6 linked regions of the Oryzias latipes genome follow. The protein of the gene in region 6 purifies or fractionates together with the protein of the main gene of each other region. This does not show direct contact. Links are inferred from orthologs where the notes say so. Each region holds a gene or a part of one and is shown on either strand. Other genes may lie near its edges. The genes, in order: bsg, sqstm1, bcap31, atp5f1c, rab2a and vdac1.

Evidence for each region.
Region 1: the proteins of vdac1 (region 6) and bsg purify together in Homo sapiens (affinity purification with mass spectrometry; 3 studies listed by BioGRID, with this or other methods). This does not show direct contact. The link is inferred for Oryzias latipes from reciprocal best matches to the Homo sapiens genes VDAC1 and BSG.
Region 2: the proteins of vdac1 (region 6) and sqstm1 purify together in Homo sapiens (affinity purification with mass spectrometry; 3 studies listed by BioGRID, with this or other methods). This does not show direct contact. The link is inferred for Oryzias latipes from reciprocal best matches to the Homo sapiens genes VDAC1 and SQSTM1.
Region 3: the proteins of vdac1 (region 6) and bcap31 purify together in Homo sapiens (affinity purification with western blotting; 3 studies listed by BioGRID, with this or other methods). This does not show direct contact. The link is inferred for Oryzias latipes from reciprocal best matches to the Homo sapiens genes VDAC1 and BCAP31.
Region 4: the proteins of vdac1 (region 6) and atp5f1c fractionate together in Homo sapiens (co-fractionation; 3 studies listed by BioGRID, with this or other methods). This does not show direct contact. The link is inferred for Oryzias latipes from reciprocal best matches to the Homo sapiens genes VDAC1 and ATP5F1C.
Region 5: the proteins of vdac1 (region 6) and rab2a purify together in Homo sapiens (affinity purification with mass spectrometry; 3 studies listed by BioGRID and IntAct, with this or other methods). This does not show direct contact. The link is inferred for Oryzias latipes from reciprocal best matches to the Homo sapiens genes VDAC1 and RAB2A.

Annotation. Positions count from the first base shown.
Region 1 is NC_019862.2:7,117,246-7,120,745, reverse strand, and holds part of bsg (basigin), read right to left. Parts: intron 1,775-3,500; coding exon 1,609-1,774; intron 1-1,608.
Region 2 is NC_019868.2:3,816,862-3,820,960, reverse strand, and holds sqstm1 (sequestosome-1), read left to right. Parts: upstream 1-1,299; coding exon 1,300-1,468; intron 1,469-1,905; coding exon 1,906-2,001; intron 2,002-2,094; coding exon 2,095-2,363; intron 2,364-2,489; coding exon 2,490-2,634; intron 2,635-2,706; coding exon 2,707-2,775; intron 2,776-2,844; coding exon 2,845-2,981; intron 2,982-3,055; coding exon 3,056-3,320; intron 3,321-3,395; coding exon 3,396-3,556; 3' UTR 3,557-3,670; downstream 3,671-4,099. Other genes in the region: mrnip (MRN complex-interacting protein), read right to left, coding at 3,840-4,049. UniProt on the Homo sapiens protein: Molecular adapter required for selective macroautophagy (aggrephagy) by acting as a bridge between polyubiquitinated proteins and autophagosomes.
Region 3 is NC_019865.2:31,911,399-31,914,898, forward strand, and holds part of bcap31 (B-cell receptor-associated protein 31), read right to left. Parts: intron 2,391-3,500; coding exon 2,290-2,390; intron 246-2,289; coding exon 101-245; intron 1-100. UniProt on the Homo sapiens protein: Functions as a chaperone protein. Is one of the most abundant endoplasmic reticulum (ER) proteins.
Region 4 is NC_019881.2:22,190,559-22,194,578, forward strand, and holds the start of atp5f1c (ATP synthase subunit gamma, mitochondrial), read right to left. Parts: upstream 2,801-4,020; 5' UTR 2,742-2,800; coding exon 2,701-2,741; intron 2,180-2,700; coding exon 2,145-2,179; intron 1,496-2,144; coding exon 1,364-1,495; intron 1,289-1,363; coding exon 1,081-1,288; intron 1,010-1,080; coding exon 866-1,009; intron 768-865; coding exon 703-767; intron 629-702; coding exon 473-628; intron 1-472. Other genes in the region: kin (DNA/RNA-binding protein KIN17), read left to right, coding at 3,482-3,595, 3,684-3,778, 3,862-3,905.
Region 5 is NC_019875.2:20,930,226-20,934,375, reverse strand, and holds the start of rab2a (ras-related protein Rab-2A), read right to left. Parts: upstream 2,801-4,150; 5' UTR 2,628-2,800; coding exon 2,582-2,627; intron 1-2,581.
Region 6 is NC_019872.2:4,158,087-4,162,267, reverse strand, and holds the start of vdac1 (voltage-dependent anion-selective channel protein 1), read right to left. Parts: upstream 2,801-4,181; 5' UTR 2,683-2,800; intron 598-2,682; 5' UTR 595-597; coding exon 528-594; intron 1-527. UniProt on the Homo sapiens protein: Non-selective voltage-gated ion channel that mediates the transport of anions and cations through the mitochondrion outer membrane and plasma membrane.

The sequences.
Region 1 (3,500 bases), on a different chromosome or scaffold from region 6:
GAGCGTAAGGAGATGGGGGGGGGGGGGGGGGGGTGCTCATCTCTGGCCTCACATCTGCATTAGCCATATGTTGACATGCTTACTGTCCGTCACCTAATAGCATCTTTGCAGAAACTCACGGCTAACATTAGTTGCGCCTCTGTGCAAGGATAATACTGTGGCGACCTGGGGGTTAGCCCCGCCTATAGCCACTAAGACTCATAGGAAGTGTGGTATCTTGTGTGTTGAATCCCTCACCATAAAGGCCCGTTCACACCGGGACGTTTAACGCCTCGTGAATAAACAAAGGGCACCAATGTGAGTGTGCACACCGACGCGAAAAAACGCCACGCGTCAAAGCGTCAAAAAAAAAAACGCCTCGGGTTTGTTTGTTTTTTCGACGCGACATCTATTCGACCAATGAGAATGGCGCTTTTGCACACGTGTCTGGGGCTTCTGAAGTTACAGTAAAACACAACTTGGGGGCGCTCAAACACAAAACTGCCTTGCTGAGCACACATACCAGCGAAGAAGATAGACGTCAAGTAGCGTCTACACTGCCGCGAAGAAATAATGACGGACATTCTTAAATATCCCTTACCAAGTACCAGTTGGAGCTACTGGTGCTTGAAATATTCATGTTTTCTTTTTATTATTCTGACTAGCGCGTAAATACTTGCTCTCTTCTTCTGAGTGAAAAGCGACTTTAAGAAGCCTAAAGTTGCGCAGCGCCACCTTGTGTACAGGAGTATTTCTGTTTACATTAAGCGCCATCTAATGTCAGGGAAGGAAATTGCATGTTCATGCACGCTCGGCTCATCGTCAGCGAAAATCGCCTGGGTGTGAACACAAAAGACGTGGCGAAAAACGCTGGCGAATAACGCCTGGCGAATATTCATCCCGGTGTGTACGGGCCTTTAGACAGGGAGCTGTGAAGAGAAGTGACGTTAATGTTGTTACGAAGTTTGTATGTGTTCAAAATTTCAAAAAAGTTAAAAAAAACAGCTTGTATGCTCTTTGAGACTGCATGGGGTCGTGCAGAGTATAGGGCACGGACAAAAACGTGCCATACCGAAACAGTTCAGCTTAACTTGTACTGTTACACCCCTAATTTTCAAAGTGATCTCAGTTGTCTTTTTACCATGAGTGTGGTGTTTTTGGTCCAAATGTAAGAGTTTCTGCAGAGCGACAGGAAGTCATTAAAAATTGCCGCAGTGGCTCACCTAGCACGATTTCTACATCAGAAATACGATCTTTTTCAAACAGTATTTTTTTCCCTTCGGCTTAAAACACAAATATAGTGTACTTATAGTAAGCCTTTTTGTTATGTAAATAGGAAATTAAGGTCAGGAAAAAAATTGGCGCCCTTTGCCCTGGAGTGAAGCCGAATGTCTTCACGGTCCATCTATACATCATGGATGCAACCAGAGGCAGAATAGTTGGGAGCAGCAAACCAGAGATAGAAAACTAGATGATGCAACAGCACTTTGATGAGAGAGAAAGTCTAGAAAGTATACATTCTCGTTGAAGGAATGCGTTTTTGTAAACCATTTCAGTTGGACAGGAAATTCAATGACAAGAGAAACTGCACATCTTCCCATTCAGCTTTTAGCTGCTGCATTTTCTTACCGATGAACTGCATAATTAGTAGCAGAAGCAGACTTTGAACCATCAATGAGTTTGCCGTTGTGCGTCCAGAAGGATCCAGAACTTTGGAGGCTAGTGCTGGTCAAGTTGCAGCTGAGACTGGCAGAAGTCTGGTTGACCACATCAGGAGATTTCAAGATACGTGGCTCTTCACAAAACAAAACAAAAAAAGACCATATAAAACAGCTCCATACACAGCTGTATAATCACCATTTATGTCACCCACGTGAATGTTGTTAAACACAAGCATTGGCCGTTCCAAATCGTTCCATATTTACAGTAACTAATGTGTAAATATGGGCCACAACAGACGGTTGTTGCTATTCATCCTATTCTACTCAAAGGAGGAGATGGAGAAAGCTCCTCCAAGTGACGAGCTTTCTCCAGTTGATGACAAAACAAAAAGGGAAGTGGAAACAATGCTACAGAAGGGTCACGAGGGTGTGTGTGTGAGGTGTCTTCAATACATGCAGAAGAAGCAACAAAGTTTGCTAAACAGTAGAGGTTACAGCACAGCAATTTAACCTTAAATCAAATGTTTTATTTCAAATACAAGCGGGAAGACAGAAAGAAAAATGCTGTGTGGATGCACATATTTTACAGTCTGTTGTCTTCTTCTGAGCTAATGGGAATCTAAACTAGAAAAATGTCTATAAGCAGAGGAAAAAGGAACGTTTCCAGTGTTAGTAAGAGGAAAAGAACCTTTTCCACCTAACAGCAGCGTAAATCTAGACATTTAACAACTTTTGTTTTTAAAACATCAAAAGTATGCGTTTTACTTTAACAAACTGCAGTGATGAAAGTCAGGCAAGGAAAAAATCCCTGAACTTTTCTTTGAGCGATATGGCGGGCACAGAGCGAAATTTTGGAAAAATACGTGGTCTTAGATGCATTCTGGTGCATTCTGGCAGCTAGTTATTCACTTCTTTATCAAGAAACTAAGACTAATTGGAGCATCATGATTTGTCATTCAAACCCCTAGTTTGACTCTCCATTAAAGACTTGCTGGTCCTAAAAAAGAATTTGGAAAATTGCTCAAAGTAACACAATCCTACAATCTACGCTTTTCCTTAAAGCTGCAAAACATACAATTGCTAAAATATAGTAACATCAAAGCCCCAAATGGCAAAAAGAACACCAGTAACTATGATATTCTATGAAAATACCTCAGTTATTTATACATTATTTCTGCTTTAGAAATGACTGATGTACAACATCCACTTGCACTGTTTTCTCAAACTATAATTACATCAAAATATGGGATCTGCTTTAAACTATAATTCTATAACATAATACATCAATTCTTTAACACCAATACTAAGTAATCTGGGAAATATCAAAACAAACATACAAACTAAGCTAAACATTGTAAACATTATTTTTTAAGGGAGTGCGGGTCCAAACCATCAAATACTTATAATTAATGTCAACTATGGTTTGTGGCGCCTTCCGTCCGTGAAACCCGGGTTCGACTCCGGGCTGCTCCCTGTTCCCTTCTCTACCTTTGCCGGTTCCAAGCCCAGTTTGAGAAGGTTGCGTCAGGAAGGGCATCCGGCGTAAAACATTGCCAAATTTACCATGCGACTTGTTCGCTGTGGCGACCCCTGATGGGAGAAGCCGAAAGTGGAAGAAGAAGAAGAATGTCAACTATACTGAACTAAATCGTGGTAATTAGGAAATACAAATAAATTAGATAAAGAAATGTATTCAAAATAAAAACTGAAACTCAAAACTAAAATTGAAATTATTTCAAAATGTGGTTTTGAGATTATTTTACACAAAAAAGTATTTGACCTACACTACCTTAAAAATCTTTTTTTTTTTTCCAGCCAAGACCACTTCAATTTGTTTTTTATCGTCTTCTCACAACTGAG
Region 2 (4,099 bases), on a different chromosome or scaffold from region 6:
TACACACAACTGAACAAAGCATGCAAATTCCCCATGTTGGTGAATTAATCATTAAGATTTGAAGAGAAGACCTAAAGGTGGACAGAATATCAGGAGATTTCCTCATAAACATTGACTATGAATTTATCATTACTGGTAGTTTACAGATGTAATCCATTTACTACACTTCTGAAAATTGTTTTTCTTTTTTTCCCTCTGAATAGGAAAAATAACTGAAGAATTTTAGACATCAACTCCCTCTCAGTGATCCAGGACAAATAATGGTAGACATGAAAAATGCTTACAGTTAACTAATCATGAGTATTTACTAGAATACAATATATTAGTCTTCATGCAGCTATTTTAACCTTCCATTAGGTCTCTTTGGCTTTAAACAAAAAACCCTGATGATTTCAATAAACAATGGCGTTGTAGTTTTGGTTTATTTATTTAAGTAAAGTTGTATCTTAGGTTTAGATTGTTCACTTGTCTTCGATGTTATAAGGCCTGATTATTTATTATTATTTTCTTGTGACAAACTTTTTTCCTTTTGACTTGGAAGTAATCTCTAAAACAATAATAATTTTAAAGAATAAATATTACATTATAACATTAACAAGAATAACATAAAAATGTAGGCTCCTCCTTGAACAGCTGAGAAAAAATGAATTACAAATTTCAAAAACATATAACGTTTTTTTTCTCCAAAAGAAAAAATCTAATGAAGTTTAACTGTTTTAAGGAAAAAAATTCCAATGTTAAATGAATTATTTATTTAAAATAACTGACATTTTATGGTTAGTTACTAATTTCTCTTTAATGAACTTCCATAGTTTTAAATTGAAAAGATTAAATTTTTTCCCTTGTTTAGTCTGAAACACTAAAAGTACTGAAGCAGTCTAGAACTTTCCTACTAATTCTAGAAGGATCCATTCCGATGGGCCACAGGTTTGATAAACACAGGAGGACGTCTCTAGGCGATTCATCGTTTCCGTGTTTTCATGGCCGCAGTCTGCCTTCTCACGGTGACTCCGCGATGTGTGTGAACTGTCTGCTGGGATCCTGATCACGTGACACACAAGACGGCCTCTGATTGGACCTCTGGAACCGGCGTTCCTTTTACACGGACCAATCCGCGGCTGCGCAACTGTTAACAGAATCACGTCACCTGCGGAAGTAAACATAAAAGAGGCTGAAATTTATCGCTGCGTCACAAACTGGGATTTTTCTTGGACTGTTCAAGTGACGGTTTTGCGTCTGTGTCTCGGTCCTGCTCCCGGTGTCAGAACTTTGTGGTTCGGAGTCCACAGCAGCAGCAGCATGTCTGTGACGGTGAAGGCTTACCTTCTGGGGAAGGACGAGCATGTGAAGGAGATCCGCCGCTTCGCGGTGGACCAGGACGTGTCCTGCAACTTCGAATATCTCAGCAAGAAAACCGCGGCGGTCTTCTCCAACCTGATGAACTCCTCCTTCAACCTCTTCTACAAAGGTGAGCCGCATGGGCCGGGTCAGACAGAGCCGGGATCCGCTGGGTCTGATCGGAACCGTCATACTCACTAACCTGGAACCGAACTTTTTGTCAATACTTTATTAAACAGCCGCAGTAACGCGGAAGACCAACTTAGAGAAACATTCGAGTATATAGAAGGACTGTAGACATTTGAATCTGTACAAACATAATCCGCCCACTGACTTATTTAAGAAACAGCTAATTTAAAGGGATTGCTGTCACGTGACGCATGTAGCCACGCCCACAAATTTCTGTCCTTTGATTTGTGCGCAATTGAAAATATTCAGTTGATCAGGAGGCCCGAAGTTTAGACCCCCCCCCCCCCCCCACACCCACACACAAACACAGGCGGAGTAGGTGGGACCTTATGACGTAGAGGGGAGGAGCTTCAGGTGTGATTCCGGTTTATATTTCAGATGAGGATGGAGATTTGGTGGCCTTTTCTTCTGATGATGAGCTGATGATGGGCCTGGGCTGCGTGAAGGACTCCACCTTCCGCCTCTACATCAAAGGTAAATGCACGGCCTCCTGTGTGAGATCAGAGTGACCTCCCAGCAGTCCTCCCTCACGGTTTTTTTTTTTTTTTTCTTCCTGAACTCTGACAGAGAAGAAGGAGCACCGCCGTGATTTCCCACTGCATGCCCTACCCCCTTTCATGTTTGGACACCCACCACCCCATGGCCCCCCTCATGCTCCACATCACGGCCCTCCCCCCGCCCTGCACCCTAACGTCACCTGTGACGGCTGTGAAGGGCCGGTTGTGGGAATGCGGTTCAAGTGCTCCGTTTGTCCCGACTACGACCTTTGCTCCACCTGCCAGGCTCAAGGGAAGCACACTGAGCACGCTTTGCTGCCCATCTGGCACCCCCTGCAGGTGAGTTACTCCATCTAACCATCTAATCGTCTTTCCACTTCTGTCTGGACATCGTGCTGATTTAAAAGAAAGGACTTTTTGGTCAAAGCCAAAATGCACTGACTGAACCAGAAACTGTGTCTGCAGTGGTTTCCCCGTGGAAAGTGGATGAAGAGAATGAGACACTGCATGTGGAACCAGAACCAGAATCAAAACCAAAACCCAGAGCAGCAGGAACAGCAGGACCAGCCAAGGCCATCAGCATCTTCGGGTGACGGTGGAGAACCATCAGGTGAGAGAAACTCAAAAAACGTTTGAGCCTAGGGCATTAACATGCTCCCACCTTAACCTCTGACCTCTGCAGCTTCCCAGGCTAGTGTGGACTTCCTGAAGAACATTGGGGAGGGGGTTGCCGCCATGTTGAGCCCCCTGGGTGAGTGTACATAGTGGAGTTGCTGTTTTTGGGGGACAGGCAGGAAGTGATGTCATGATTTCCATGCAGGAATCGACGTGGACATTGATGTTGAGCATGACGGGCAGAGGTCGAAGGTGAATCCACCCACTCAGGCTGGAGGGGGGGATGACAATGTGGCAATGGATGTAAACGAAGGGGAGTCTGCAACTGCTGAGAGGTCAAAGGTCAGTCTGTGTTCACTGATCAATGACTGAAATGAACGTGTCAACAACTGACCCTCGTCCCCACGTACACGCAGGCAAGCCGGGACTCTGACGAGGAGTGGACTCACCTGAGCTCCAAAGAGGTGGACCCGTCCACGGGGGAGCTGCAATCCTTAGACCCCAAGAACCACGAGTGCGAGCTGCCGTCGGGAGGGCAGCAGGGGCCCCCGTCGGGAGGGCAGCAGCCGTCGGTAGGGCAGCAGGGGCCCCCGTCGGGAGGGAAGCAGGGGCCCCCGTCGGGAGGGCAGCAGGGGCCAACAGGTCTGCGGGAGGCTGCGCTGTACCCCCACCTGCCTCAAGGTGAGTCTAGTTCTCACAAGTATCATTTGCTATGACTGTTGCCCTCTTGTAAGCTCCTCCCTCTGCCCCCCACAGAGGCGGACCCCCACTTGGTGGAGTCTCTGGCTCAGATGCTGTCGATGGGCTTCACTGATGAGGGGGGCTGGCTCACCAGACTCCTCCAGGCCAAAAACTTTGACATTGGAGCGGCTCTGGACGCCATCCAGTACGCCAAGCAGCCCCGCCCACCACAGTGACCGCACCAGCTGCTTTATTTAACCTGAGTTTCTATCTGTTCAACTGTTAATCAACTCCTTAACCTGTTTCTGTCTTTTATTAATCTGTTTCTGAACAATAAAAACATGAAGGAATCCGAGTGGGTGGAGTCTTGATACACACCTGTACTGCCAAGTGCACAGCAGGCTGCTTTTGAGAACCAAAACAGTCCAAATGAAACACTAAATGTAATTTTATATCACCTGTTTCCACGGCAACACCTCCACCAGCAGCACACTTGAACCAGACTACACATAGGAGCTGCTAGAAGTCAATACTGAAGTCTTCCTCAGTTTCGAACAGGGAGGAAACACTGAGTCCTGGGTGGGGCATGTTGGGGGCTTGACTCCGCCCACAAGCTGGAGGCTCCTCCTCTTGGATTTCGGAATCAGATTTGAGAGAGCAGGCTGAGCTAAAGGCGCGGGGATGGAAGTGAGCTTCATCAGCAGAACGTCTCATTGCTGGACCAATCAGCTGCAGATAAAGAACACAGTAGTGAAAGTTGGATGACAGAAACACCAGAA
Region 3 (3,500 bases), on a different chromosome or scaffold from region 6:
ATTTAAATTAACGCGTCTGTCATCTGAATGAAATGCAGACACATTAACTGATCTATACCATCAGTGTGCCATGGGTGAGTGGGAGTGTGTGGAGACTCACAGGCAGAGCAGCAGGGCGAAGCCGGCGATGTACTCGTTCCTCTGGGCTCGGAAAAGCTTCATGTGAATGTGCTCAATGGCGGTTGGGTTGTTGGTAACGTCCACTTTGTCCGACACACTGTACTTCCTCACCTCTCGGAACGCATCTGCACACAAACACACCTTCAATGCAGTGACCGCTCGCACACACTGCTGACGCACAACCTGAAGGTCAGCTGTTCAAAGTTTGGGTCAAAAACTCATCCTTGACAAGAACAGAAGCTCTTTCCTCCTCATCGTTTCAGTAGGGCGTGATGCTGCAGTGAACGTGTATTTTTGAAATGTTCACAGTAAGTTAGGGAAAGCTGGGAAACAGGATGGCCACATGGCCTGCTTGAAACGACACAGACCTCTCAAGGTAAGTACACATTGGACATGTGACCCGCATAACAAGAACGTGCTGAACACGGGTTCTTGAGTACACTTTTAGCACGTGCTCACTAGGCTGTCGCTATTCGACTAGCTCATGTGGAGGAGGAGGTTTTGTGCGAAATGTCAAAGGAGTGCAAATCACGTGCATCTTGCTACATTTTTCTGATATTAGAGAGACTTGGTGTCAGAATTCTGGCCGGGTACAAACAGCAATCATTAATTCCTCCTTTATGACCAATTTTCAAACGGTCGGCACCCTGAGATTAGAAAGGACGCTACCCGCACGTCACCGTCAAATCAGAATCCCCGATTAGTCAAAGTTCAACTGGTTTAACTTTCAACACATGTTCAATGGCAGCAGGTTTTGTATGTAGAGCTCGAAAGCGGACAAACAAAATTGCTTAGCTACGCCTGAACACAAGCGTTTTAAGCACAGAAGCCTGAAACGTGCATATATGTTACGTAGACTTTTCATTGGAAGTGGTCGCTTGAACGAGCATCGCAGAGCCCGGTGAACGCAGCATCAATGACAGTTCCCTTTAACTTCTTCTACAGAAGATGAGAAACATGAAGAAACTAATCGATTCTGACTTGTTTCAATGAAACTGGATGGCAAAAATGTGTTTGGCAAACTGGAAACTGCTTCTACCAGGTCTCAGGCATTGAGCGTGTAGGACGTCACTGTTGAATCACAGCGAGCGCTCAGCTGTTGTAGTTGTGCGTTTGTGTTCGGATAGAGCAGCATCACCACACTGCAGCTGCCAGTAAACAAAGAGGGGAGAGTTAAGTAAGGAAAACTGCCTGACCTAAAGTGTCCGTTATCGTAAATTTATGATAACAGACTCTTTAGGTCAGGCATTAGCCCTTACTTAATGGACATCCTGCAGCCAATCAGCATCTAGTATTCACCTCCATTATGGCATAAAGCTAAATTACCTTTTCAAACAACGGTGATAAAGCCATCACTGTTCACTGCACGTCCACTCTTCCATGCAGTCTAAGCTACGTCTCTGTGTTTTAAATTCACAGCATTTTTTTCATAGAAATCTGGAGAATGTTTGGATGGTTACGGTGCTCACAGCTCTGAGCTTTTCTTTTAAACTGAAGAAAGGTAAAAAGCTTTCCTCATTCAAAGTGCAGCGCCCCCTGGAGGGCAGAAAGCTACAAGTGCCCCACGCTCCTCAGAACGTTGCTGCCACATCAGAGACGGACAGAGGAGCAAACAGAGATCTGTTGGAGAAAGGAGGCTGTGGATTCCTTCACGGCGGTTCATGGCTGAAGGGTTCTCCACCCTGCAGGCAGAGCCAGGAGGGCTTTGCTTCAACCGCTGCATACTGGAGCACGTCTGCCCGTCATAATAGAAAATCCTCTTTATTTATTCTTTTTCCAAAAGCATTGCTGTATGTTATAGTTTTGGACAATACGTTAAATAAAACAAGGATAATTATTTTCTGATCAAAATTGTCTTTCTAAAATACTTTTTAAAAAGAGTAAAATCTTTAATTGTGCCATTTATCTATGTAGAAGCGCCATTTAACGATTTCAATGACTTTTTTCTCACTTTATTTAAAAGTATCTTCTTTTTTTAGGTATTTGCACAAACTTATTGGTGTCAAAAAAACAGGTTAATACCTCACACGGAGAAACAAAAACAAAAAATCTGTTGTCAGACTCAGCTTTCAATCCTCCTTAGACTGATCAAGGTATTTAAGGTCAGAGGTCAACATAACGCAGCCATCAGCAGCTGTACGTTTCCTTTGTCTTCACACAGTCTCATACCGATGAGAAGGAAGACGAGGATGGCGATGGCCACCATGAACCAGGTGTTTCCATAGAGAGCGATGGTCTGAAGGATGCGAGACTTGAAGACCTTGCTCCACCTGTGAGAGTGGAAAGAACAGAAGTGAAGACAGAAGCCTGAGAGGACCAGTGCAGACAGTTCCAACCAGCTGGGACTCTGCCCATCAGGGGGTCAAACTCATTTTCACTGAGGGCTACATCAGCATAGTGGCTGTCCTCAAACGGCCAGATATAACTTATACCTGTAACTAAATGTAATGAAAAATAAATGTAACTACTCCTTAATGTTAAACAACTCATTATTTATTTATTATAACTTTTTAAAGTGACAAATACAGTTGCATAGAAAACATATGTTTGCTTGTTACTTTAGCAAAAATGCTTTTACATTTTGTCCGTTTATTAAAACCCACATAACTCCATTAATGAAGGATCAAACTGTCCAAGTGAATGAAAAAAAATAAGAGAAAACTGAGCTAAAAAGAACATGTGTTATAGTGTAACATTTTACTAAAAAAAGGCTGCACACAGCTTTGCATCCAACTGATGGTTTGATGACAACAATTTTTCTGCATACAGACCTGCAAACATTGAACAATTACAACAGCTACACATACATAATATGTAATAAACTAAAGAACATTTTTATTTTAAGAAATTAAAAACTCTTATGTCTCTTGCGGGCCACATAAATTAAAATGGAGGGCCACATTTGGCCCCCGGGCCTTGAGTTTGACACATGTGCATTAGAACATGTTTAAATATACATTCAAGAAGTCAGAGCTAAAACTGTTAAATATCAGGATTCCCATGATTTTTCATCGAGTTACTAAACCTCCACACTGAACGGAATGAGCCATATGATCACTCTAGAACAATCCCATCATGCCTCTGGCAAACAGAGTTGCAGCTCTTTTTCCATCCCTTCTTAAGTGGGGGTCCACACCCTCAGTGCTGTTCTGCTGCAATCATGAAAGAAAGCTGCTGGATATTTTTGTCACAGAACATCTGATTTCTAATGATGCCAGATTTAAGAAAAGTTCCTTCTACCTAAGTATCATTTGCCGATATCCCAGACATAAGTGCTGGCTCCTCCCACCTCTGCAGAGCACAAAGTGGGATAGAAAATGATGGAATTTCAAAAGCCATTTGAAGGAAACGATTATGACGAAGCAGTAAGCTGAATTCCA
Region 4 (4,020 bases), on a different chromosome or scaffold from region 6:
TAAATAAATCTTTGTTTAAGGTAGCCACGCCCCCCTCAGCTTCAGTCAATGAGTTTTTATGCAGTTCAACCCTTTATGACCAACACTGTTTTCAATGAACTACTAAAAAGTTGTGAAATTTAGATGTTCCTGGAGGAGGAAACCTGTGCTTCACATGAGGCTGTTGACTTCCAGGTTGAAGCTCATTTACAATCAACTGTAGCCAGGCCTGTTCACTAAATAACCACTAATTATAGATCACGAGAGCACGTTTAACATCTACATGTTAATGAAGTACGAGTCCTTGAATGACACATGCTCGTCCCGAGCATGCTCAGTAGTGTCTGTCTGCAGCTGCACGTGCACTCCAACACGTGTGCACGGACAGCTTTCAAACAGAACGACACTTGATCAATAAAATGAACTCAGTGAGTAAAAATAAACACAACAAGAAGTACATTTAAAAAAAAAAACGGATCTGAAAGAGGCTCACAGGCGTTCTTGCTGGCGTTGTCCATGGCCGTCATCCTGGCGCTCTGCTCGCTGGTGGAAGACTCCTTCATTGCCAGGTAGATGACGTTGACCAGAGCGAACTCCTGGTAGTTCCTCAGCACGTCAGCGTCGATGTCATCATAGATCCCCATGCTCTCTGTGGAAGAGGGGGGGGGCACGTTCGGGATCTGCGGCTCCGACTGAGAAAGGTCAAAGTTGAGTTTCTTCTACCTGAGTTGGCCACGATGTCCGTGGAAAACAGCGGCTTCTGGTCCGTCCTGTAGGAGATGACGGACCTGCGGGGGGGGGGGGGGGGGGGGGGGGGGGGTTAGTTAGTCCGGGATTCAAAGCAATACTTGTGGCATGCGCCAGATAAAAGGGGCGGGGTCCACACCTGAATCTGTTGAAGATGACCGAGCCCTGGTCGAACTCGTATCCGGAGTTGAGCAGCTCGGTGGCGACGATGGAGGCGTCGTTGAAGCTGGGGGGTATGCGGCCGACCTCCTTACAGTTCAGGATGATGTGCTTCCCGTGGGTTCTGCTCGGATCAACGGATCATGAAGCCAAGGCGAGTCTGAATCCTGAGAGAACCGTCAGAACCTCTCAAACCTGTGCAGGAGGCCTCTCAGCTTGTCTCCCACGTTGACCACCATCACCTCCTTGCCGGCGCTGGTCAGGTTGGCGATCTCGCTCTTTATGACCTTGGCCACACCGGAGTGGATGGCGCCGCAGAGCCCACGGTCAGAAGTCACGCCGACCAGCAGGTGCTTGGAGGTCTTCTCCTCGGGCGCCTTGATGTCAGCCTTCTCGTACAGCGCTGTCGTGCAGAAGAAGAGACGTTTTTCAGCACGGCGCCCGCCACAGCAACCGCGGCGTCACCGCCAACACACACCTAGAGCTCCGGTGCCGTAGACGCGGGCCGGCTTCAGCTGCCTCTCAGCGCGGGCGTATTTGGCAGCGGCCACCATCTTCATGGACTTTGTGATCTTCTGGATGTTCTTGATGGACTTCAGCCGAAGGGTGACTAAAGGAGAAGAGCGGTCACATGATCAAACACGAAACACAATTAAGCCTTTGTAAAAACTTTATTCGTCAAGTTAAGTTTTTCTTCTCAAGTTCTTTCAGATGCAAAACATGACAAGTTAGTTAACGAGCAGATATGGGTTTGCAAAATACAAATAACATTAAATCCATATTTATTTTTTACAAATTCAGGAAATGAATTCACTTTACTTTAATAATTGGTTAAGTGAAATCATCTGTCACATCGTTTAATTTAGTTCATTTGTTTTATTTATTTTTTTCTCTAAAAAAAAGAAACAATAACAATTTTCACTACGCAGTTTGTTTGTTTTTACTTTCTAAAGCTCAGTTATAACTAAATTAAATCTTCAGGGGTAACCTGGAAATTACAGGCTTTTATTTTTATATCAAACCATCCTGGAGATGCTCAGTTATACCTAAATAAGTCTCAGAAAGAGTTCATCTTAACAATCCAGGCTTTTATTTTGTTAGGAAATCATCACGAATGAATGACAGTCTTCAGAGATGCTCCGTTATGTTGACATATGTAATTTTTCACAATAAAAGTAAAGACATAAAGTTGTTTAACAATGAAACCGTGCAGACAGACAACCAAATGGAGCATTTTAGCTTTGGGGATAAACACTTACTGTCCTTCAAGGTGGCCATGTTCCTGACCTGCCCACTGCGAACACAATCAGTTCACGTTAGCGTTTCATTCACTTCCATTCATGTACAGATTTCAGTGCAGAGCTGGACTTTCTGTCCTCTCGCAGACACCATGTAGCATTTTATGATATAAGAACTGTGGCGTCCTAAAGATATTTGCTAGGTAGTATCCTTATTAGCTTAGCAGCTAACGCTAATGCAACGCAAAAAGGCTAAAACAAACAGAAAAAAACTACTGTAAAAGCATCTGCTGTTGGAATACACATGTACAGAGATACAGCATCTATTTATAGACTTTGTGTTACATTTCAAAAGTTACAGCAAATTAAGTTAGCGCTGTCATTAGCATAGCCGGTTGAGTTAGCTTCATTCATTAGCTGCGGCCTGCCTCTCTTAGCACGTCCTTGTACAACTGATGTGCAAATCCTGAATTCAATAAGCCACATTTTCGTTTCTACAACACTTTAGAATTTAGGTTTGATTTAAAAAGACAATAAAAATAAAATAAATGTGATGTTTGATGGTATTTGGGTTTACCATTGTGGGAGGAAAACCAAAGCGCTGCTCCGGGCGAACATGGCTGCAGCGATGAAGGTCAGACACCCAGAACTGCGCACGCGCAAGCCTACGCTTGTCGGATGATAACTTCAAGGACCACTGGGAACTTTTTCCTGCATTGGTTTTCAAAATCAAAAGCTCTTTGTATATGTCCACATGTGAATTTTTTTATTGACATTAAAATAAAAATGATTGGAAAAAATGAGCCCGCGTTTCTTAATATAAAACCATTAAATTTGATGTATTTTTATATATTTTATTTTTTTACAGAAATACTCTTAAGCAGAGTCTTTACCTATTTATCATTTTAACAGGTAGAGCAAATCAAAACGCATGTTTAAATCGCGCATTTAAGGTTTAGCACAGAAAGGAAAATATTAACACAAATAACTGAACTACAAGCAAATCAAAACCTTAAAGAATTTTATGTAAACAAAAACTTTTTTGTAATATTGCTAAATAAACACAGGCTTTAAATAATCCATATCATTCATAAGATCACTGAGAAAAGCACAATGATTTTCTTCTTGTTTAAACTCATCACACTGCTTCTGGCGTATGAAGTTTTTAAAATCCGGAGCTCGTGAGAAGTCCATGAAGGTATCAATTGTTATCGCGGGATTTTGTACTTTTGCGACAGTGTGACGTCTGTCGGCGGAAACGGTTAGCTTGCTTCCTCGGTTTATCTCAAAATATTCGGGAAAATATACCCAGATTTGATATTTTTTACAGGTTTAATTGTGTTTTTTAACAGATCAAAATGGGGAAAGCGGAGTTTTTGACCCCGAAATCGATCAGCAACCGAATAAAAGCCAAAGGTCTACAGAAGCTGCGATGGTATTGTCAGATGTGTCAGAAACAATGTCGAGACGAGGTGAGATTTTTATATTATGATCTTATTTTACACCTTTGGTTGTTGTTGGAGAGTTTAAACGGTGATTTTGTTCTGTTTTGGGGTCTAGAATGGCTTCAAGTGTCACTGCATGTCCGAGTCCCACCAGAGGCAGCTGCTGCTCGCCTCAGAAAACCCCACAAAGTTCATGGACTATTTCTCAGAGTGAGTCCTCTACTAACCATCCCAACTGGAGCTTTAACACTCACCTTAAAGATGTTTACCATGTCTGTTGCTGTCTGTTTCAGTGAGTTCAAACGCGACTTTCTGGAGCTGCTCAGGAGGCGATTTGGTGAGAAAAATACCCTTCAGAGAAGCACTTAAACTAAGTCCTAAGAACACAGTTTCCCTTTATGACGATGACTTTATTTACGTCTTTATGCCTTTGAACAATATATTAAACACCC
Region 5 (4,150 bases), on a different chromosome or scaffold from region 6:
ATTATAGTTTTCTTATGAAAGATGAGGTTAATTCTGTTCTTAAGGAATTAAATGAAAACGGACTCAGTGGGGATAAAAATGAAATACAATTTTTATCAAACTTCTGATATGAAAAATTAACAAGAGCCTAAACACTATCCCTTGATATTTACCTGTAACACCAATGATTTAAAGTTCATTTATGATGTCAAAAATGAACATAAAACAGATAAATTTCCATAAGATATGCTTCAGTGTGTAGTTTATACAGCCGAGGAGTACAAAGAAAACGATTTCTTTCTCAGGATGTCTGCATGCAGGACAGCACATTACATATAACCAAATTAGCATCCGCACAGAGAAATTAGTTTGTGATTTACAAGATACATTAAAGGTGATTACAAGTGGCCCAGTGAAAAGCATGGCTTTAATATTTATGTCAAAAATAGTCTCTTTACCTGTCAGCACAGAAAGAAGTGATACCAATAACAATTTATAATTATCATTAAAAAAGGAATGTGTAAAATCAAAATACTTTACCCCAAACTACCAAGACGATGTTCCTTCTGTCAATGCTGATACATTTCAAATTTTCAATTGTGATGATTTTTTTTCACTGTATATTAACGTCAATATTTTCGTCACTTTACCATCTATAATAAAGTAAAAAGTGTCAGAATTCACACACTACTCACTATGAATCTATGATTCCAAAATCCAGTGGCTTGGAAATTTCCAAGAAACCTCTGCAAAAAAACTAGTGTGCATGATGGTCACTGGATAGGCGAAAACAGGTAACAATACATTGCATTTGAACAATTTGTCATTTGAATGAATGCATTGTTTTTAAATAAATCATTAAGTTTTTATGATCAGAACACAATAGATTCATAAATAGTCTTTGTAGAATGTACATTTTTTAAGGTTTTTACTTTGACAAACGGGTGAGATCATATTTTAAGTTAAAAAAACAACAAAAAAACTACAAAAAGTAGTGATCATGGGTCCAAACTGAAGTGAAAAGTGAAATCAATGACACTGGATAGTCTTTTAAGAGGGAGAAGTGAGTGAATTCAGACAGAGAATGTTTTACCCAATTACTGCTGATGACCTGAGCAAAAGGAATTTTTTTCAAGCTAGTAACCCCTTTGTTGATGACGCAATTACTGTTATTTTTATTAAAACCACATGATTTGATTCATTATTACAATCTGCAGTTGGAACTGCAGTTTTATGTTCCTCCAAGCAATAATTATACAATTTTAAAGACCCAGTAAAGTAAAAATCCTTCACCAGAAGGTAACCATTAACCTTAAATTACCTGTTTAAACCAAAATGGATATACAAAGTTGCAGTTCAAGTTTTCTACGCTGGATCTTCATTATGAAATCTAGAACTGAGAGTTCTGGAGAATTTACACTCACATATTGTGGTTATCATTTCAAGATTTTGATGACTCTTAGCCCCGCTGATGTGAGCTGTGTGGTCTGTTTTTCTGAAAATACCCTCCGAATTGAGCTGGTATATTAGCCAGAGCTGTAAACAGCTTTGATAACTAGGAATAAATGATAACGAGCTAAACATGAACCTCTTAAATTAACAAATAAAAACATGAACCTCTTCTGCAAGAACCATGTAGTCCAGAAGAGAGAAGAAAGGATCTTTTCTACAATGTTTGGAGCTAGTTTATGATTTTAAAGTTTTATTTTTCGGTGTGTTTACCTTCAATTGCTGTCTAATTTTCATTCAGCCAACGTGGTATTTCTATCCGATTGAGCCATTAAAGATCAGACGTCCCCATCACATTCCTGAGAATCTGCTTATGTCAAACTAAAGATTCTAGATTTTCTTGTCACAGCAGTTCTTCTTCATATGCACCTGCTGCTCGTGTATTTGAACAGGCCCATCATCATCAATACAATCTGTCAAAAAAATAAGCGGATAACACTCGAAGACATTTGTGTAACCAAACCATAAATACGTTTACCAATAGAAAGCAGAAATCGAGTATAGTGGGGACATGTGAACCGCGAAAATAGATGTGGTCAAACTAAGAGTCAACAAGCTCTGTCTACGCCATTTGAAAAATTATTACGAGCTTTAGCTTCACGCTATCATGGCCCTGTCTAATATTAAGTTTAAATTATTCCAAAACTAGTAAAGATAATGTTTCAGAAACAAAAATAATTGAATGCTACGACTTATTTTTATGTATACTGACACGAAAAAACAGGCTAACTTGCTGTCGTGACAGCTGTTTGTAATCTTTTCTAGAGGTGTAGCCAGTTAGCATGCTAGTTAGCGGCTAACACCCCCACCCTCGACGCAAGCAGACAAAAGGCCCAACGTCTGCCGGTGTCAACAGCTACTACGGCACCGGGGTGAGGGGGGGAGCTAGTTACGGAACGACCGTTTTTATTTTTCTTATTTCTCTTTTTGGTTTTGGTTCGGATGTATTAAACGGGGGAGAAAATCGGAGCTGTCATCCCACCCCTTGCGTCTCTGCTTTTACCACGTCATTGGACTATCCAACACTGCGGAAATAGCCGCTAACTGAAAGATAGCCTACCGCTGAGTCTAGCTGGCACTTGATGCTACTTACCTGTGTCTCCGATGATGATGTATTTGAAGAGGTACGCGTACGCCATAGCACCTGCTTTGTACAGTCAGCTTTCTTAACCGTTACACCTTAGTAAAACGGGCCGTGAACCGTATCAAATGAGTAGCTGACAGCTTGTTTTTCTCTGTCGGTGCTCAGGAAGGAACAATAAACAGCTCGAGCTTCAGCTCGACGTCATACGCTCCGCCCTCGCCACGCTACACAATGATGCGTTCAAGGCATGCTCAGGAGTTTTGTCGTGTGTGTTCGTGTTTGTGATTTTTTTATATCTCGTTTTGTTAATATATTATTAAAATGCCCGTGATAAGTTTTGTGAAAGTTTCCTTCAACCTTTTTTTCACATTAAAGATTAATGCTACTGTTCTTCATAAGTAATTTTACAACAGATTTGTACACGAGTCCTGAATAGCATTAATACTTTCATTAAAACCTGCAGAGGTAAAACATGATGTAAAATGAACAATGTACAACAAACTGCAATTAACTTATATTATCAATTTAGGGTATAACAATGACTACTCATAATAGTATTTACTTTAGTAATGTGAAAGTCCTGAAAGCACAAAAGAATGAGCAACACCCAGCTTTGGTCAGTTAGTTTAATCCACAATTGTAGGCTGTGTATTTAGAGAAAAGGGAAAACAAGGACCAAACAGAAAACGTAGTGCCTGTGTGGCTCAGAAAAACTAAAAAAGAAAAAAATACAATAAAAAGAAGAAAAAGATACTTACAAATAACAGACTAAAACATCTATGTAAAAAAAAAAAGGAAAAAAACATGACTCCACGCAATTATAAGGAGAAAAAAAACGTGCTTGGGTCTATACAGGGTGAAGATAAAATCTATAAAACAAGTATTTGGTCGAAAAGAAATGTCCCCTCAGTATTTGTAAACCCTCAATGACAAAGTATTTCCTGGAAATATTCAACAGGCTTGCACTGTAGCGGCTATTTTGGTCCGTTCTTCCTTACAGATCTTCTCAAGAGCTGTGATGTTTTGGGGCTGTTGCTGTTTAAATTCCCTCCACAGATTCTCTATTTTGGATTGAGATCCAGAGGCTGGATAGACTACTCCAGAACCTTGATATGCTTTTTTTTTGTTGCCACTCCTTCATTGCTTGGACGATGTGTTCGGGATCACTGTCATACTGGAAGATCCAGACATGCTTCATGCGAAATCCTCTCACAGAGGGCCTCAAAGGAGGCTTTTGCCCAAAATCTCACCATACATTGCCCCATTTATCACTTCCTTAATACGGATCAGTCGTCCTGCTTTGAAGAAAAGCAGCTGCAAATCATGATGTTTACACCCCCATGCTTCAGAATAAAAAGTTAGATTAAAAATGATTAATATTATATAAATAACCTTTTATCATTTAATTTATTTATTAATTATGTGATGTCATCCCGACATAGTCTTCCTGATAACAAAAATACATTGTAATATCATGCGAACTAATGAGAATTGTATGATTCAAGAAAAAAAAATTAACAGAACAAGGAGCACAAAACTCTGTAGGAACCTGAACTGAACGTTGGTGTTGTTGTTTTT
Region 6 (4,181 bases):
TGAAAAAGGTTTAATGAGCATGTCTGATAAATGACAACTGAATCAGATAAAAGCTCTTATATCATGTCACAGCCTTTGCAGCTGTTGAGATGTTTGTTCAAGGCATTCTTACAGAACTGTCTATGTGCAACACCCTATTTAAAGGGACTTAATTGAAGTCAATGGAAAATCAGTGGTTGTCTATTTATACACAAACATAGCTCTACCCTGGCTTTTGTCAGAGCAGGTTCTGTAACATGGACCCAATACACCCATCAGGTTACAGTCAGGTTACATTTTTATACAGAAACTAGACGGTTCTAAAAACGTTTTGGGGATTACTTCACACCACAATAAAGACGAGCAACGAAACAAGGAAAGATTATTTAAATAAGAGGTGATGTTTGTATTAATAGTCCTGGAAAATTACAATAATCCCAACAAGTGTTATAGCTACTTTTATTTTACATGAAATCCAGACTTTTTGTTTTTTAATCTCAACTGTAATCCAAACCTTGGAGAATTCTGATTGGCTAATAAGGGCTCACCATATCCCTTTGTAAAGACATCCCTGGCAGACTTTCCAAGGTCAGCATAGGTGGGAGGTACAGCCATTTTCTGAAAACAAAAGAAAAAGCAGGTGTAGCCTGAGAACGGATTGAGAGTAACAGGAAGATGACGGGACAGGTGAAAGAAGTAAAAGCTTAACTTTAAAGACCTGCTCTGATCATCTTTTAAACCATATTAAAAGCTTCCCCAGGGGTCTTTTCATTTCTATGACATGGTTTATGCCTATCATCCATCTGTTTATAGGCGATCTCGGAAGCTTACAACCCCAACCTAATAATAAAAATGGCTAACAATATTCGAGCTATCTAGCTGTACAGTTTTGAGCCGGATGCCAGCTCAGTTGAGGAAAACTTAGGGCAGATGCATCAGAATGGAACCAAAGCTCAGTCAAACTGTAAACAAACCAAGACCACCTTAAAAATGGTCCAAGAGCAGTTCCTGGTCCTGAAGCAGGATCCACTAGTTGGGTGCATTCAGACTGAAAATTTGTTCCAGAATATCGTGGGGAAACGAACTCTGGTTCACTTTAAGCAGACCAAATGTATCCAGTCTGAATACCACCGAAGATTCAACCAAGTATTTTTAAACCTCTTTAAGAGTAGTTGAAAACAAATATCTGAAACTCTGTAAAACAGAGAAGTTCATGAGGACCATGGTGGTTGCTGGGTAGATTCTTTGCCAACCGCTTCATGGCGGCACTCAGACATTGGCACAGACCAGTTCTTTGTCCACCTCTTTCAAAACCAGTCATGCAAATATTTCATAATCGCCCCCACATAAAGAGACCCATTTACAGAGCACAAATGTAAATAAGGACTTGTGCAGAGTTAGCGACAACGTAATATCTAGTAGATATGACACGAATTTCAAGGGTAAGCTGAGCGAATGGCAGCTGGATCCTGAAAACTCCAACTAAATTTGCAGGTGTTTTTTTTTTAAATAATTCATTGAGATCTGAAGCAGCAGATTGGTATTCAAGTGGACCCCAGCTGAAATCAAAGCTTTGTATTAAACAGCATTAAGCACTTCACGGGAGCCAATCAGCAGCCATCACAAGTCCTATTTTATGCTTTTAGTAGATTTTCAATTCAAAATGCAGCAAACAACTACCACATTAAGTCCTTTATGTTTGCTCTATTCCTTTTTACGTCATTTTCAAACATCCCATCATTAGTTTTGGGTTGTTCTGGTGTCATTGCTAAAGTCTGTCAGTCCTTCTTAACATAGATGTGAAACCTCAGCCAGGAAACTGACTAGTATAATTCATGTGATGCCCCAGCTTCCCCCTGGAAATAGCCCATTCATTAAGCAGCTCAGACCCACTCGCAATGCTCAGACACGCCGTCTGCACTGGTACACCTGCTGTGTCTGCCGCGTGCTGGCGAGGCTTCACGCAGAAATGTCCGAACCCTAGAGAGGACGCACGAGGTCAAAGACACGACACTCCCTCCACAAAACCTAAACTGCTTTTATTTGACCGTTTTTCAACAAATGTGAAAGAAAAAAGGAAAAGGACCCTGCAATAATATTAACACGACAGGCAGGGACCACTCATAACATCTTTAGCTTAACTTTGAGCCGGCTTCCGAACGTCCTTCAGCATCACTCATGCGTTTTTTAAAGACATACAGCAGTAGCCAGGAAGAAAAGTGATTCCTGGAAAGTGTTTTGCATTGATTTTGCTCTCCTAAAAAACACCACGAAGGTGAACATTTCCCTGAAATGAAGGTTAAGAGGAGAGCATCCTCCTGACCTCGCCTGCTAACCGATTAGCACGCTGTTTAATGACGTAAAACAGAAATAAAAGTGGGTACAAATATAATAAAGTACAAGCTTCAAAAGAAGAAGCCGTTATTAGCTACTGCAGAATTTAAAGTGAAAATTAGACACACGATTTTCCAAACAGCAAAGCAGTTTTTTTGACCGCAGTGCGAGACATTAGCCACAAAGCTAGCCGCAGAGATGGCTTATAAAAGCAGAGGGCCTAACCATCCTGCTGCGTTCCAAACGTCAGGATGGCGGGACCATCCCGGGAGTCCGCGGCGAGGCGCGGCCCCGGTAACAGCCAGGAGCAGCTGCGGTCAAACGACGCCATTTTTAAATAATATTCAGAGGAAAGTCTAAAACGCCTACCTCCGTGGAACAGCCTGAACTGAGAATTGTCAACTGCACAACGACAGGGGAGGGAGAGGGGTAGCGTCACGCGCACGTTGAAAATCACGCAAACTCCGACAGCATGTCGTCATAAACAAAGATCCAATTCGGGCTCTCATTGCAAGACAGCTCACTCCAATTTTTTTTTGAAGCGCCAAATGTTAGTGGACACTATCTTCTTTTTATACATGTATTTAATGACATTACATAGATTAAATCAGTCACATTATTTTGACTGTTTAATTCTTTTGTACTCTTAGAATTTCATCAAGTAATTTTCCTAAAACAAATTCCAAACGAATCACTTCACTTTTAACAAATAGTAATGATGAGGACCTTTGCAAAGAATAAAATGTGATACATAGATTTTTTTAAAAAGAGCAGGTAAAACTCTGCAGACTAACGTTTGTGTTTAAAAAGCATTTTAACCAGCTAAAAAAGAGTTATCTCTATTTGTTTTTGTTTTTTTTGAATGGTAAATTTTTTTTTTACTTTTAAAAATTTAAACAGGTGTTTTGTTAGTAACAACTACTGAAATAGGATATCACATTTAGCAAAAGAAATTCTCAAAAGAAGAATTGGTAAATAGCTTTTCTTTCCCTTCCTCAAATTGTCTTGCTTTTCACAGGACACAGCATAAAAAGACTCATCACTGGATATCTAAAATTAAGATAAAATAAAAAAAAACTTGCAATAGAACATTAACAATTAGCTCATATAATAGCTTATATAACTACTGCATCAAAATATAATTTACAACTAAAAAAATGATTCTTGGAGATTGTTAAGGGATACTTCTTTTCAGCTCTAAAATAAAATTTCATTTAAAACTTGGACATCTCCATCCCAGTCATACCCATTTTTGTTTTGTTTCAATACTGTTTCACATGTTTTTAGGACTAAATGTGAGAAAGCAAAACCATTCACAGGTGAAACTTCCTCTCTCACAACAGTACTCACTGAAATCCTCAACTTCAAAAAGAAAAAAGGTTTATTGATTAATCTAGAAATTGCAGTGAATATATTAAATGAGGTTGTGGCTGTGTGTTTTTTTTGTCTGAAGTTTAAGGTTTAAAAGAGGTGGAGTCAGAGGTGGGGACTGTGATGGAGACGGCTGGAATCAGGTTGTAATCTATTATTTGACCAGTTGATGTCGCTGTTACCAAAATGTTGTCAAAACCTCCGTTTCCTGCTTAAATTAGAGTTGATGGTTCTTGGGTAAAATCCTACTCTTCTTCCTTTTGTTTGTTTTTTAGAGTCCACTCTTTGTTCTTTTGCAGCATTTCAACTCTAATTTCTTATTTTTCCTTTTCATATCAAATTAGCTTTCATTAAAACTTCTTACAAGTTTTGATATACAATTTTTTAATAGATACTAAAATCCCATAATATTGCCGTGTTTATTAGGTAAAGAGACATAAATTGTTAAATAATTACTTGCTAGTAAAATATTCTCTTCACAGATGTCTGCCTGATTT